Caenorhabditis elegans: one gene and its partner. The protein of the gene in region 1 interacts with the protein of each later gene in a pairwise test. Each region holds a gene or a part of one and is shown on either strand. Other genes may lie near its edges.

Region 1 (5,736 bases):
GGAGCAGCAGCTGCACGATTGAGAATCTTCTCAGCGACTGGATCATTCGTTCCGTAATAACGATCACGAATGTTTTGACGGGACAATGGATCATCTGGATCGGTTGGCTTCTCGTGGCGATATGGGCATTCTTCTCCTCTTTTACATTCTCCTTTGACAAAGAATGAGCAAATGTGTGGTGCATTTCGTTTGTAGTATGGTTGAGTACGACCCATTCTACGAAGACGATCGTGTGCCGCCTGATCCATGTTATTTGCGATTTGTGCAATCGGCTGAGTTCCGTCACCTTGTCCAAGAGTTCTGAAAAAAAAAGTAATTTCATTGATTTTTGTCCATGTAGAAATAGCTAAAATAAACTAAGATGTGAACTAAGGGAGTCGGTTCCTTGATTTTCAAGAAAATCAAAAATATAATATTTTCCTTTTTCGATTCACCGGTATTTCGGTAAAAAATTCGATTTTTCGAAAAATAGCTTGAAATTTGACTATTTTTCCTCTTTTTAGAAACAAAATTATATGTTTTCCTGTTTTTTCTCATCAACATATCATAAATAAATTTTGATTTAAGAAAGTTTTTGTAAATTTTCTGCACTCTTTTTCCAATTTTTTGATATTCTTTGAAACAGAATCAATTTTTTTCGATGTTTTTTCCTAGGATGCGAACTTATTCCTTAATGTTTGTAGCAAAACATCATCATAGAAAATATTAAAGACGTACCTCTCCACATTTTGCAAAAAGAAATCGCGATTTGCTCCTTGTTTCGGGATATTATCAGCAATTTGAAGTTCGTGATCACGCACTTGGACAGGCAATCCATATTCCAAATCGAACATGCATGTCTGGCACACATTCTTCACTTTAGCACATGTTTGACAAAGTTCAGTGTTCTTGTAACGAGCTCCCTTTCCTGGTTGCCATCTGAAGGTGGTGAATGGGCGCTCACAGATTTTGCATTCTCTGCCATATTTGTCCTTCATCTGAAAAATGTGAATTAGAAGGAAAAACTATAGAACGAAAATGTCTAAAACTTTAAATTAAATAATAAACTTACCATTCTCATATATGGATTATTTCCGAGACATGTCTCACAGAGAATTGGAAAATCTGAATCTTCCCAATTTTTCCGGTTGTATTGCGAGTAAGAAGACTTTGACATCGACATGATGGCAAATTCTGAAATAAATTATGAACTACGAGTTCTTTTAAATCTGTGAAAACACAAATAAGAAATTTGAGTAAGGATTGAGAAACCTTTCAATCAAAATAGAAAATTCTAAACCAAAAGGAAATGTGATAAGTTCTGAATTTTCAAACCAACAAAAATAAATATGAAATCTGGAACAAAAAAAGGAGAAAAACAAACAAGTCAAACACCGACTATGCAAAAATCAATAAAACAGGAAATATGAATTATGATGACTGGAAAGAGGGACATAAAAGCTGAAGTGAGGTGAACGCAGAGAATTAGAAAGCTAAGAAAACAAGAAATTATCGATTGTTTAGAGGGCGGCAAGAGTGTCACGAACGGCAGTGATCAGCTGGTCGAGTTTAATAGTCTGAAAATATTTAATTGTGATATCGGAAAAATTATATTAGAAAAATTACCTGTTCGTCTCTGGTGACCACATTTCGCAACTTGACAACTCCATCTTTAAGCTCCTGCTCTCCAATAACAATAGCAAGCGGAATACGTCTTTCCTCAGCATACTGGAATTGCGTTAACAATTTCGGATTAGCCTTCAGTGCCATTTCAGTCTTGATTCCAGCAGATCGAAGCATCTTTACCAACTTCTTGCGATCCCTGACCAAATTCTTTTGAGCAGATGCAACATAGACTTCGGTTTGCGTCGTACGAATGGCAACTTTCTGTCGAGCTTCCATGATAGCAAACAGACGTTCGATACCAAAAGAAACACCGCAACATGGAACATTGGCTTTTGAGTCGAACATTTTAACCAATCCATCGTATCGTCCACCGGCAGCTACTGATCCTACTCCGACTGGTTGTCCAGCAGTATCCTCTGAGTTTTCAACAGCAGTTCCTTCAAGAGCTTCTGAAATTAAACAATTTGAATAGTCGATTCAATATTTAAAAACATACTAGGAGCGACTGCTTCATAGATTGCACCTGTATAATAATCAAGACCTCTGGCAAGGGATGGTTCGTATCGAACAGTGGTCACTCCATCGACATTGAGGTACTCAATTAACACCTTCAGTTCTTCGGCTCCCTTTTTAAACTTGTCATTTTGCCCGAGATCTGGGAGTTGTGACATTTTTTCAAGAAGTTCCAAATTGTTGAGATCGCTATTGAGCTCTCGGAATCGAACAAGTTCTCCCAGCTTTCCAGTCTGCTCTTTAGTTAGGAACTTTTCATTAATCATTTCTTGTTCAACATCTTCCCATGGAGTTTTGTCAAGCTTATCGACCGATGAGCAAATTGTTTTGAAATCTTTAGCAGGAATACCGGAAACGGCAAACATTCCTTCGAGGATCAGACGGTGATTGAGCTGAAACAACACAATTCGAATTAAAATGATTGTTAATAAATGCCTTACATTAATGAAAAACTCTCCAATTTCCAGTTTCGTGAGCAACTCATCAACAATTCCCAGACACTCAGCCTCCGGAAGCATAAGGTCATACTGTCCGGCAATATCAAAATCGCATTGATAGAACTCGCGGTACCGTCCACGAGACATTACAGGTTGATCTCTTCTGTATACTTTCGCAATTTGATATCTTGTAATATTCGTGATTTTGTTCATTGCCAAGTATCGTGCAAATGGAACAGTGAGATCATAACGCAATGATAGAAGCTCTCCTCCTTGATCTTGAAGATCATATACAAGTTTTCCTCCTTCCTCGCCATATTTTCCCATCAGAACATCACGAAGCTCGAATACTGGTGTATCAATGGTCTCTGCACCATATCTATTGAATGTTTCAGTGACTGTCTGTAACACAGAATTGCGAAGAGCCGATTGAGCTGGTCCGTAGTCACGAGTTCCCTTTCCTGTTTTCAGAACAAACTTTCCGGGTTTTTCGGGTGCACCGGTCTCGCCTGCCTCCTTTCTTTTCGCTTGCATCAGTGCGACTTTCTCTTTGATCTGAAAAAGCATGTATTGGTGGAATTTCATGTTATTCAAGAATACTCGTCGTCCACTTCTCTGTGCATATGCAATCCGCGGTTTTACAGTTTCTTCAGCCTGCCGAACTGAGAAAGCCAGCCTACTCGTAATAGTTCGAAACATTTTACTGAAGATGTGAAAGTTCGTCACAATTTTATGAATTTGGTGAGAAAACTATGCGGATTGCAAACGCGTTTCATTAAAATAGAAGATCAGACATGAACGGGTATCCTTTATTTGTTCAAAAATGCGAAAAAAAACGATACATGTAAAAAGTCTATCTAATTTTGGAAATTAAACGATTATTTGTTTGTTTCTGACTGAATTTCGTTTAAATTAACAATGTAGCAAAAAATCGATAAACTCACAATTGCTTGATCGGCCTTGTCGAGTTTTAGCTGTCGAATTTCGTCTCCAAGAGCTTGAGCCTCTTGCATGAGAATTGCTTTTCTTTCGGCGGTCATTTTAGATGACATTATTGTGTACCCTGCAAGTTTATTTGCAAAATTGTTCAAAGATTAAAAAAAATGCAAAAAGGAAACGATGAGGAACGGATTTCGAAATTAGGTCTAACAGAGAAAAAACAGAGGGAATTGAGAGAGTGCGGTAGTCCACGTTTGCAATTACACGAGACAGGACTGGGGGTCAATAGGAATAGTCATTTTCAATTTTATCAACACGTGTGGGCTGTCTCATCAAATTTGATATCGAAAATTGAATTTTGTTTCTCTCATTAACGACTTTGAACATTTGATTATGGGAATTTTTTAATTATAACGAAATAAGTGTTTGCAATATTAATAATTTTAAATTAAATTTAAATAAATAGGAAACGCGATTTCGAAACGTAAGACACTTAAAAATTGGATAATTAAATAGTTCAGAAAACGCTCATTCAAAATACGGAATCGCCTCGAGACCCAACCGGTGAACCATATGCGCCTTTAATGCTAGTTACGGTAAAATTTAAAGTTTTACGCCCACTTTTTCTACAACTTCTAGTATTCTATGAGATTTTTTGATTCAGTTTGATGAAAAGTGATAAAATAAATTTTAAAAATTGCTTTTCATAAAAAGAAAACAAGATTTATTATTCAACCATTATAATTTCTGAAAATCAATACTAATGCATCATCTACTTTGTTTATGTTTTCTGTGCCGCAAGCTTTCTGGAATATTTCTGTTTGTTTATGTATTTATATCCATATTCACATGACTTTGTACTTGTCAGCTTCGCAATATCATTTCCATATTTTTTCATGCATCTCTTTTAGCAATAGAATCACAATAATTCATTTCCTACCTCCATATCTATTTTCGCCTCCAAAAATTAAACAAGTTTCCATTCAATCATATTTCTTCCAATTTCAACAATTTCAGGGTGGTCATATGCCGAGAATCAGACTCAGGAACGATGTAAGCTCCAGCAGTTTTTGGACGAGAATAACTGGTCAAAAATGGAGCAAGCATCATGTTTTTATATTTGTACATACTTTTATGAGGTTTGATTGATTGTAAATAATATAAGATTAATTATTTTTTTAGTTATGCAATGCTTCATGCCACTCGGAAAACATTGTCTACTGTTAAACCATCACTTATTCACACATGGATCTCAAATACTTCAACACCCGATGGTCCAGTATTTCCATCTCAACAAGCTGCAGCTGAATTCTTAGGTGTTCTGGATACAGGATTCTTGGTTGCATATGCAATTGTAAGTATAACAATTTGAAATTTCGAAATAGATTTATTTGACTTGTCACAGGAAAAAATCATTCCCAGTTAATTGTACACTCAATAGGCTCCTTACCAAAAATTGCGGGAAAAGGTGTGACGTCATTTGTATTTTTTTCCTAGCATCTCATAGTGACTTCACATAATTCCAAATATTTCCCGAAATAGAATATTCAAAATACCCAATTTCCAATATTCAGGGTCTGTACATATGTGGAATACTTGGAGACAACTACAATCCTCGTCGCCTTCTAACAGCTGGAATGATGCTTTCTTCAATTATTGTATTCTGTTTTGGATATCTAACTGAAACTTTTCATTTCTACTCTCCGATGGTCTACTCGTTTTTATGGATTTTGAATGGGTTTATTCAATCCGTCGGGTGGCCTGTTGAAGTCTCTATTATGGGCAATTGGTTTGGACATAATGCTCGTGGAGCAGTTATGGGAGCTTGGTCATCGTGTGCAAGCGTTGGAAACATAATTGGAACATTGATAGCTAGTTACACTCTTTTTCTGGGATATCAGGTATTTGGTTACATGGTAATTGTGTAACATGATCAAAATTTCAGTACTCATTCCTGATTGCATGCTCCCTTTTATTCATCTACAGTTTTCTTGTATTCTTTCAACTTCCATCAGCTCCATGGGAAGTGAGTAGTGATATTCTACCAGAACAAATGGAAGAGGAAGAGACTGATGATGAGCCTACAGAAAGACCACCACCAATTGGATTCTTGAAAGCTTGGTTACTTCCAGGTGTTATTGCAGTACGTTGTCATACACCGATTTCGAAAAGTTACTCAACTTTTAATTTTCAGTATTCACTGGCTTATGCGTGTCTGAAGCTTGTTAATTACGGTTTCTTC
Region 2 (8,803 bases), on another chromosome or scaffold:
AAAGTCCCTAGAAGTTTAAAACTCAAAATACTGATAAAAGAAGCGGCCCGCCGCCAAGTCGCATGATGCAGGAACAAAAGTAGTGATATAATGACTGTGGAGATTTAGGGAAAGTGCAAGAGAACTTGTGGAACGTGTAAAAAAGGCAAAATGTTACAGACAAAGTGTTACATAGTATTTCATTTAAAAAATCGAGCAAATGTTTGGGCGTGATCTAAATTGAAGTTTGACTGCGAATTTTCCCACCCCAAGCCAGGTGAAAAACGTTGTCCCTCCAACGGATCGATGGATCAAGTGCGGCTTTGATGAATACCAATGGAGCAAATAGCTCGCGGAGCAACCAAATCAACAGAAATTTCAAAGGGGAGAAGCTCATTTTCTTGTTCTGAAATGAAATACCGTTTTTTTTTATTGAGAAAACACTGAAACTACAAAAAATAATATATTTTAATCACAAAGGAACACATGTAAAGCGGGAATGGTCAAACGGCGGGCCGGATGCGGCTATCTGGCGCCCAACTAAACTTCAAAAACCGAGCCTCCGGTGGGGGCTATTTTCAGCCGACGACAGCCCGATGCGGTCCAATGGCGGTTGTTCGGCAGTGTTACGTGTTATTAGGTCGGCAAATAAGTTTTGAAGTATATCGTCAATTTATGTTTTTTTTCCAAAATTTTATTTTGAAGACTTATAGTAGGCAGTCAGTATATACAGTCAGTAGTATATATATATAGTCTATGAGTTTCAACTATTTCGGCCAGCTTTTTTGCTAATTTGTTCTGAAAAAATCGAAAAACTCTGGAGATTTTTTTTATTGATTTTTAACAATAGCTGTTATCGATGTGACGTTAATATCTAACGCAATCACGTTTTGTATGTTTAGAGCAAAAAAAAACGAATCTTAACCCAATTGAGCTATTCCAAAAAAAGTGGACCACAAAAAATGAGACATTTTCAGTTTTTGTTTATTCTAGAAAATTTTTATGAGAATTTATGTAAACTTACTACTTTCATTTAGTTTTTCAAAATCAAGTTATTTACTGTAGATTTCAAGTGTTTCCACCTTTTTCTCAAAGTCTGATATTTGGATTACCTCGAAAGTTTTTTTCAGAAAATTGTTTAACCCAAAAACATTGAAAGTTTTTAAACAGAACAGTTCTATTTAAAAAATCATTATATTTTTTATTGATTGATTTTCTTGAAATTGAAATTCACTTTGAACTGTTGTATGGCTTTCTTTGAAAAACTATAACCGTTTTTTTATTGGCTGAAAAAAAACCAAACAATTAAAAAATAAAGTAACTACAAAACGAAAATACACAAATAGAATAGTTTCAATGTTCTTGTTTTGTCAAATGGTTTGAGAAAAAAGTCAACCAAATACCAAATTTCAAGACAAAAAATTGGCTTTCAAATACTGTTTTTCGGCCGGCTCACGACCTATTTGTTTGGAACACAGTTTTTGTCATTGTTAGTTCTTAAAATACTCTCAGGCTAAGAACAGAGTAAAACAATAACAAAAACAAGCTCAACACAAAAGTAACTCATATGCCGTTTAGCGAAACAGCTGTCCGCGGTTTTTGAGCCGCCATTGGACTGTTCCCGCATTACCTGTGTATGTCACTTCTACCCTCAAATTGAACATTTGCAACCGCCCACGCATCTTATGGCTGTAGTTCAAAAATACACTTTTCCACACATATTGAAAAGTGTAACGGAAAAATCTCTATCTTGTCAACAAATGTATACTTTTACCGGTGAATCACATTCAACTGCAGTTGTGAATAATTTTTTCAATAAACATTTTCATACCTGCATTTTGCACATGACCATACAATCCATAGTAATCCAAAACACTACGTGAAGCATGATTGTTGTAAGCATATCAATATTAGCAATGTAGTTGAGACTGAAGGAAATTATGAGTGCAGAAGGGAAGCAATCCTGAAATTTGTTGAACTGTTATATTTTCACTTGAACACTTCTTTTCTCAAATTTGCGGCTGCAAGAACAATTAGGGTTAATATGTTCCGGGCCAAAATTCATAATTTTTTTCACCAGGTAGATTGTTCTCAAATTGTAGGAATCTATAGTATCATTTATGTGCTTTCATTTGACAGAAGCTTAAAAAAGGTGAAAATTTTAAAAGTTGTTTGTTGGTTGTTAAAAAATGTTCATATATGAATATATGATTTTGCATGCAGAAATAATGCAAAACAGTCATAGTAAGGATAGGAGTCATAGATAGGAGTCATAGTAATAGTAAGGAACTTTTTTTTGACATTCCGAAATTTGAATTTATTATAAATAAAAACAATTTAATATTTTTTTAACGATCAATAAAATGTTGTTTTTAAACTAGTCTGGTTTTTTTTAAGTTTTCAATAAATCCACATACTTCATTTTAAATTAAACAAAACCAATTTATTCAACTCAGCGGAAAAGAAGCGCGATCGGACAGATGCCTCAAAAAATGGCTCCGAGTTAAGGCCTTGATGGTATGAAAATTTTTTTAATCTATTGTCACATAAAATAGCGTAATGATAACAAAGATTCCTGGAGCTTATTCTCCACCTCCCCCAATATAATACTTTTTACTATGAAGACTCACTTGCAGCGGCTCCACAAAAATAATTTGAGGCATCATTGCCATTCTAAGCTTCACCCATCGACAGACTCTATCCGTGAATGACGTCATGGTTACCGCAGCAGAATTTTGTAGCGCTGGATGTGTAGAAATTCCTGATTTGTATCCTCGAGACGCCAGTTTCTTCCCGAAGAAGTAATCCTCGGCAAGATATCCACTGAACGCAGCAAAGCCGCCACATTCATCCAATGCTTCCTTTTTCATCATCGATGACATTCCGGTTGGGCAGTTGAATTGGAGGCAGTTTCCGGCTAGATAAATTCTGGCATGAGAGGTTCCGAAATATATCTAAAACTATTTAGTCTATATGTATCAATGTTAAAGAAGAAGTAGTCGATGTGGGGAGATTACTAACAAGTGTAGCCCATACTGAAATACTCAAGGCGATATTAAAACAGGCAAGTACGTTAACAACGATAAAAATTAGCGTAAGACGCTTCAAAATTTGGATTGGCGCGCAATTTTTTGACTTGCTAGAGTTTTTGTTTGTTTTGACCATTCAATACAACTCACTTGCTCAAAAACCGAAGCAAACCCTTTTCTGTCCTTGCAATACGGAGTTTGCGTCACTAACGCCATTGTCTCATGGCTCATCATTGTACTTGCCATATCCAAAACTGCGTCAGATTTCATAAATATTCCACTATCACTAATCATTATAAGTTGGTACTTGGCTATTCTATAAGCTGGCATCATGTTGTTGATTTTTGGGTTCAGGCCAATTTTTTCGCCACCTGGAATTATTTGTTGAAAATTTCGTTCTTTCGGATAGAACTAACCAAAAAACATAGTTGAATCAACTGAGGGATATTTCTTGACTAAGCTCTCCACTACCTTCACTGCTGGATCATCTGATCTGTCAAAGCAAAATAGAAGTTCAAATTTGTGATACTGCGTTGTAAAAAATGTTTCTAAATTTGTGTATAAATTAGCGTCGGCTCCTATAATTGGCTTGATAATTGAGACTCCGGGTAGTGAAGGGTTGGGTTTGGTTGGACGGTGGAGTCGATACTTTCTGGAACAGGTTCTTTTAGAAAAAAACAGCTAGTGTAAACAGTATTCGAAAATCCGAGCAAGAACTTGTGAAAAGAAAATGTTAGATGTTTAAAATAGTATTTATTTAAGATAACAATTCTATAACCCTGGAAAATTTGTTTAAAAAATTTAACAAAATTTAACTGTATATTTTATTGGGGATTGCATCGGTTTTTTGAAGCCGATATTTCGTGTTTCCATAGTTAAAAAAAAAACTTTTGACTCACAAAATCTTGTGAATATCGTTTCATATTTGTTGTCGTCCGACTTGCTTATAATTCGAAAAAAGCCAAAAGTGTATTTTGTTGTGATTTGGGCCTAACGCTTTCCCTGCGTCCCAACTTTGCAGATATATGACCGGTCAGGCTCACCCACTCGCCACCACTCATTATCCGCGAATACATTCACTCTCCGTTGTCCTTTTCCGTTTATTATCTATTAATAATACATCCCATTTGAATTACCGCCATTTGCGTATTTCCCGATGCAAGCGCGCTCCTCCGATAACTCCCGTTATTCCGAAGCGTCATAGCTCCGTAAATCCACACAATAATTCTAACCTACTTTTAGGCCAATCGTTCATTCTGTTCTACTTTCTCCAGACGAGTCAGCGGCTACCCATCCGCAGACACTGTGATTCAGGACCTTTCTGCACCATTTCCATTCTGTTAATCACTTTAATTCCTATTTATATCCACTGAATAAACTGGAATTCATCTGAAACTGTGTACTGTTATTCTCTCCGCACCGCTTATCACCAATGCCGCTCGAACCTTGCTCCGTGTCTCTCCGCGCGTATCTGTAATACGCTGTTTGTCACTCGGTAGGGTGACTGACTCCCCTCTACTGGTCCCGAGTGTCAACATATTTTTTGTGATGGTTTTTTTTTAAATAGTTTTTTGTAGCAACAATGAATTAGAAAATTACGATATGTAATTTCCCTCAACTTTTTAAAAATCTTATAATTTTTTCAATTTGAAACAATTTATTTTCTGAAAGTTAAAAAAAAAACTTATAAAAATGAAAAATGAGCTCATGTGAGGTTCAGTAGGAAACTATTTCCAAATCTTTTCATAGACTTTACAAAAAGCCTAATTATAAAAATTGCTGCAGAAAGTATATTTTCATAATTAGGCAGCTGCGAGATTCTATTTTGGTTACAGAATTCTATGAAAATTTTTTATTAACTTTTTAATGTCTGGCTCGATTTTCATTTTGAAGACTCAAAAAACTCACCCATAGCATAAACCAACAATGTGCAAAAAGTACAATGCACTCACAAAAACCACACCGAAAACCGCAAAACATGTGCAATAATCGATGTCCTCTAATATTTTCTTTGTTCCAGTTAATAAAAGAGGTATATATTGCGAGAAAAGTGGGTAATATAACGACGAGGCGTTCTGTTCTTGAAGAGATTCAGGTTGAACTTCTGAAATTTCCGGAATAATCTCAACCTCCAAACCGGTTATTTTATCGCCCATTACTGCAATATTGTGGATTTTTTAAAATGTCAAATACGAATTGAAAAAAAAACACAAAGAACTAAAAGAAATAAAACAATGTTTCAAAATTGAGATGTTTTTAAATTTAAAAAAGATCTCCAAAATTGGACAAAAATTTCTCATAAAATGGTTTAACATTTTTTGATGTTCAGATCCAAAAAATTAATGTGCCATAAGTGCATAGAAAAAGGTTTTCTATCGACTTCCAAATTTATACCTTTTTGACTGATCATATAAAATGTTCAAAAAAACATTTGCAAAAATATCTGGTGATTTGGGACTATTTGAAAAACTCAACAATTATTTTTAAAAACAATATATGAAAAATGCTGTATTCTCATTTTCATAGCAAAAATTGAACCTGGTCAGAAAAGTACACAAAAAAGTGAAAAGTGAGTTTGCCTAAAAATTGAAAGTTCTCAGTTTTTAGCGAGAAAATGTCTGACAATTTAACAAATTAACTTCCTGAAAATGAAAAAAAAAACGTGTTCACTTAAAAAAAGTGATAATTCTGCTTGTCATATGTAACTAATTCTTCAAATTTTAAATATTTTCTAAAAATCCTGTTGCAAAAAGTTAATATTTAGAAGAAACGAAAAAATGATTGGTATTCAAACCCAGAACATTAAAACTACACTGAAAAAATATGAAAATCAGTTTGTGCTAATTGTGTTATGCCAATCAGAACAAGCGCTGATAACCTCTTTTTCAAAGTTTTTTGTTGAGTCTAAAATGATAAAGCTGACAACATTGAAAAAAAAACTCAATTCAAACAACCAAATGAAATTGAATGTTTTGGCAGTTTTTAAACATATATTTGGTGTTTAAAACTTATGGAGAAATAAAATAAATGTGGGGTGGCGCCCATAGCAGAATTGTATAAAATAATTCCTACTGTACTAACATGGTCAATAAGCATGGAGGAATAATTTAAAAAATAAAAAAAAGTAATTCAGTTTCAATAAAAATGTTTTCGCCTATTTATTATTATTTTACAGGTTGATAAAAAATGCTAGCAATTTTAAACTTTATATAGTTTTGATCTTTGTATTTTTATTTTTATTGTAAAAGCTCAATTTTGCCATAACGCACAAATATTTTTGAAAATCCTACTTTTTTAAATGGCAAACTAACCGTTGTTTAGTGTGAAATCCGACTGAGGATACTTTGTCACCAATTACTAAACTGTAAACAACTAGAGATGCACAAATGTCGTTATAATCTGAAATTTGAATAGTTACTGAAACATTTAAATGAAACTTAATCATATAGAGCTTCCATAACTTAATAGTTAACTTGATGGCTTTAAAATCACTTCACCAAAAATTTGATTATCATTATTTAAATTTATTTACGAAATTTAACATAACTTTTTTCTCTTCTTAATCTCAAGTTGCAAACAAAAAAATCGTCAATCTAGGCCTAAGACAAAACATAGTTAGAAATATATTGAAAACTAAGTACCAAGACAAAAGACACAACTGTTAACTATAAATTCTCGGAGACGCACTTGCCATTTAGGCACTGATAAAACGCGTGAGCGCAATGTACTATAAACTAATATTGCATCTGTAACGCGTTTTACCCTTCTTTTCTACTTTGATAACAAAAACACGCAAGTGAAAACTGAAAAAATTCATCAAATAATTATGCTGACAATCATCAAATTTTGAATACGAGTAAATGACTGCATGGCATCGCGGAGTGATACAAAGGTGCTGATAAAACGTTGGAGCTTCGATTTAAATTGAAATTATAGCCGCTCTTTTTGCATGTTTCCAATTCTAAGTTGAAGCAAAGTCTGTGTGAAATTTTACAATTATAGAAATTAAATCGTAATAACCGAAACCATCTGTAAAATGTTTTTAAACTTTTTCCTACATTTTTTATTTTTAGGCTGTCATGAAAATCCTGTCCTAATTTTTTGTTTAATCATTGTGGGCTAGAGATCAATTTCGGTGCTTACTCCTAGTGATTGATAAACAGTGCAGTCTTTGCAGTAATGAACCTCCCATCCCTCTCTCTTTCTCTCGGTTCAAGTTATTTGCTAACATGGTAGTTTACATATATATTAAACTGCTGAAAAACATAACTACTATTGCCCCATATATGTTTTTATTTCAAATCACATATTGCAGACAATAGACATGGAGATGTCCACCGATTTTCCAATCTGTTGTAAGGAAACGTTACCCAAATGGCTGATAGCATGACTGAAATTCCGTCATTCATTTTTTGAATAATTCATGCATAAATTTTTTTTTCTGGTTTTTATGTCGCTTTTCTAAGTATCTTTTTTTGTATTTTGAGTTCATGAGATTTTCTAATCTAAAATTTTTATTATTGTCGTATGACATGATTCTTGTACAAAAATGTTGCCTACCCTTTACGTAAGCAAATGTTGCATTTGAAAACACCACTCTGAACCAAGTTGATTTATCACTGAGTGATTCATGTTTCCAATTGTTGTGAAACACTGAAACTTACTCCAATTTTTTTCACATAAATGTTAAAAGATGCGCATGTTAGCTTTTGTAAAATCATTTATTTTTATTCTAACAAGTATATTTCATATTAGAGGCGGAGAACCGAAGTCTAGGAACTATCTTCAAATGACTCCAAATTTGTGCATGACTTCGAATATCTATGTGAAAAAAATTTCCCTCATTTTATTTTTGATCTTGAAATTGCAAATTCCATTTGCGTCCCAATGACTTTTTTCAAAGTCGCACCCAAATAATTTCTCATTGGAGCGCACAAAAAAAGTCGAGAACGCAATTGCAATTTACGATTTCAAGCTCAAATATACAATCAGGGAAATTTTTTCCAATAATGGTGAATTTTGAAGGCATTATTTTCCTTGAGTAAGCCTTTTTTCTATGTTAACATTGTGTTAATTTTATATCGCTAATCCAGTGTTTCCTTCTCCAACTTTTAGCTGTTCCATCTTTTTTCATCATCCACCTGCTCATTAATTTTGCTACAATGCAGTTGCTCAATATTCAAAGTCGATATATCTGATGAACTATTTTATTAGGGTGAGCAATAAGTTTTTTCGTATTTTCTCAGTTTTCATCCTTTCTCAAATATTTTGTATGTGGTACATAGTGGCCTATTAGTAGTGCAAAATATATTGATGTCATATATTTCCGTCAACTTCCAGACTGATTGATCCTCAAAACTACGCTTTTTGTTTAAACTACGCTTTTTGTTTAAACGTGATTTTTGTAAAACATGCAATTCACGAAATTATCTTTAAAATAAATTTTCTCGAATTTTTTTGATTCAAAATTTAGAGAAATTGGTTTTTCGGTTTTTATGTTCCAAGGCACACACAAAAACCTCTCTGGCGCGGCTTAAATTTACTTTCCTGTCACACAAACATACCAATAATATTTTTAAAAAATCAAGAATCCAAATCTATCAAAACTTTTCCGGAATACCATAAATTTTATTCTCTTTCTGTACTAAGCCTCTTCGTGGCGAAAGGGATCAACAGATAACCACTTCAACAAACTCGATGATTTCGTCACATCGAGAGTGGCTTGGTTTGGAACCAAGTGCAAATTATCTGGCCAAGAAGTACACCGTCTCACGCAGGTCAGAGGTAGTGTCGAA

Evidence for each region.
Region 2: the proteins of hars-1 (region 1) and cgt-2 interact in a two-hybrid assay, tested with the Caenorhabditis elegans proteins (one large-scale study listed by BioGRID).

The regions. Positions count from the first base shown.
Region 1 is NC_003282.8:10,856,839-10,862,574, reverse strand, and holds hars-1 (Histidine--tRNA ligase), read right to left. Parts: upstream 3,619-5,736; 5' UTR 3,608-3,618; coding exon 3,500-3,607; intron 3,259-3,499; exon of another isoform or gene 3,255-3,258; coding exon of another isoform or gene 3,156-3,254; intron 3,111-3,155; coding exon 2,559-3,110; intron 2,511-2,558; coding exon 2,102-2,510; intron 2,055-2,101; coding exon 1,606-2,054; intron 1,557-1,605; coding exon 1,500-1,556; 3' UTR 1,291-1,499; downstream 1-1,290. Other genes in the region: rbm-22 (Pre-mRNA-splicing factor RBM22), read right to left, coding at 1-300, 718-977, 1,052-1,162; T11G6.2 (Sugar phosphate exchanger 3), read left to right, coding at 4,079-4,090, 4,512-4,633, 4,677-4,848, 5,069-5,395, 5,440-5,637, 5,689-5,736. UniProt on the Caenorhabditis elegans protein: Involved in protein synthesis. Catalyzes the specific attachment of an amino acid to its cognate tRNA in a 2 step reaction: the amino acid (AA) is first activated by ATP to form AA-AMP and then transferred to the acceptor end of the tRNA.
Region 2 is NC_003284.9:17,692,836-17,701,638, reverse strand, and holds the start of cgt-2 (Ceramide glucosyltransferase 2), read right to left. Parts: upstream 6,408-8,803; 5' UTR 6,320-6,407; intron 5,167-6,319; 5' UTR 5,165-5,166; coding exon 4,917-5,164; intron 4,401-4,916; exon of another isoform or gene 4,293-4,400; intron 3,661-4,292; coding exon 3,425-3,660; intron 3,380-3,424; coding exon 3,159-3,379; intron 2,934-3,158; coding exon 2,610-2,933; intron 1,943-2,609; coding exon 1,811-1,942; intron 386-1,810; coding exon 215-385; 3' UTR 1-214.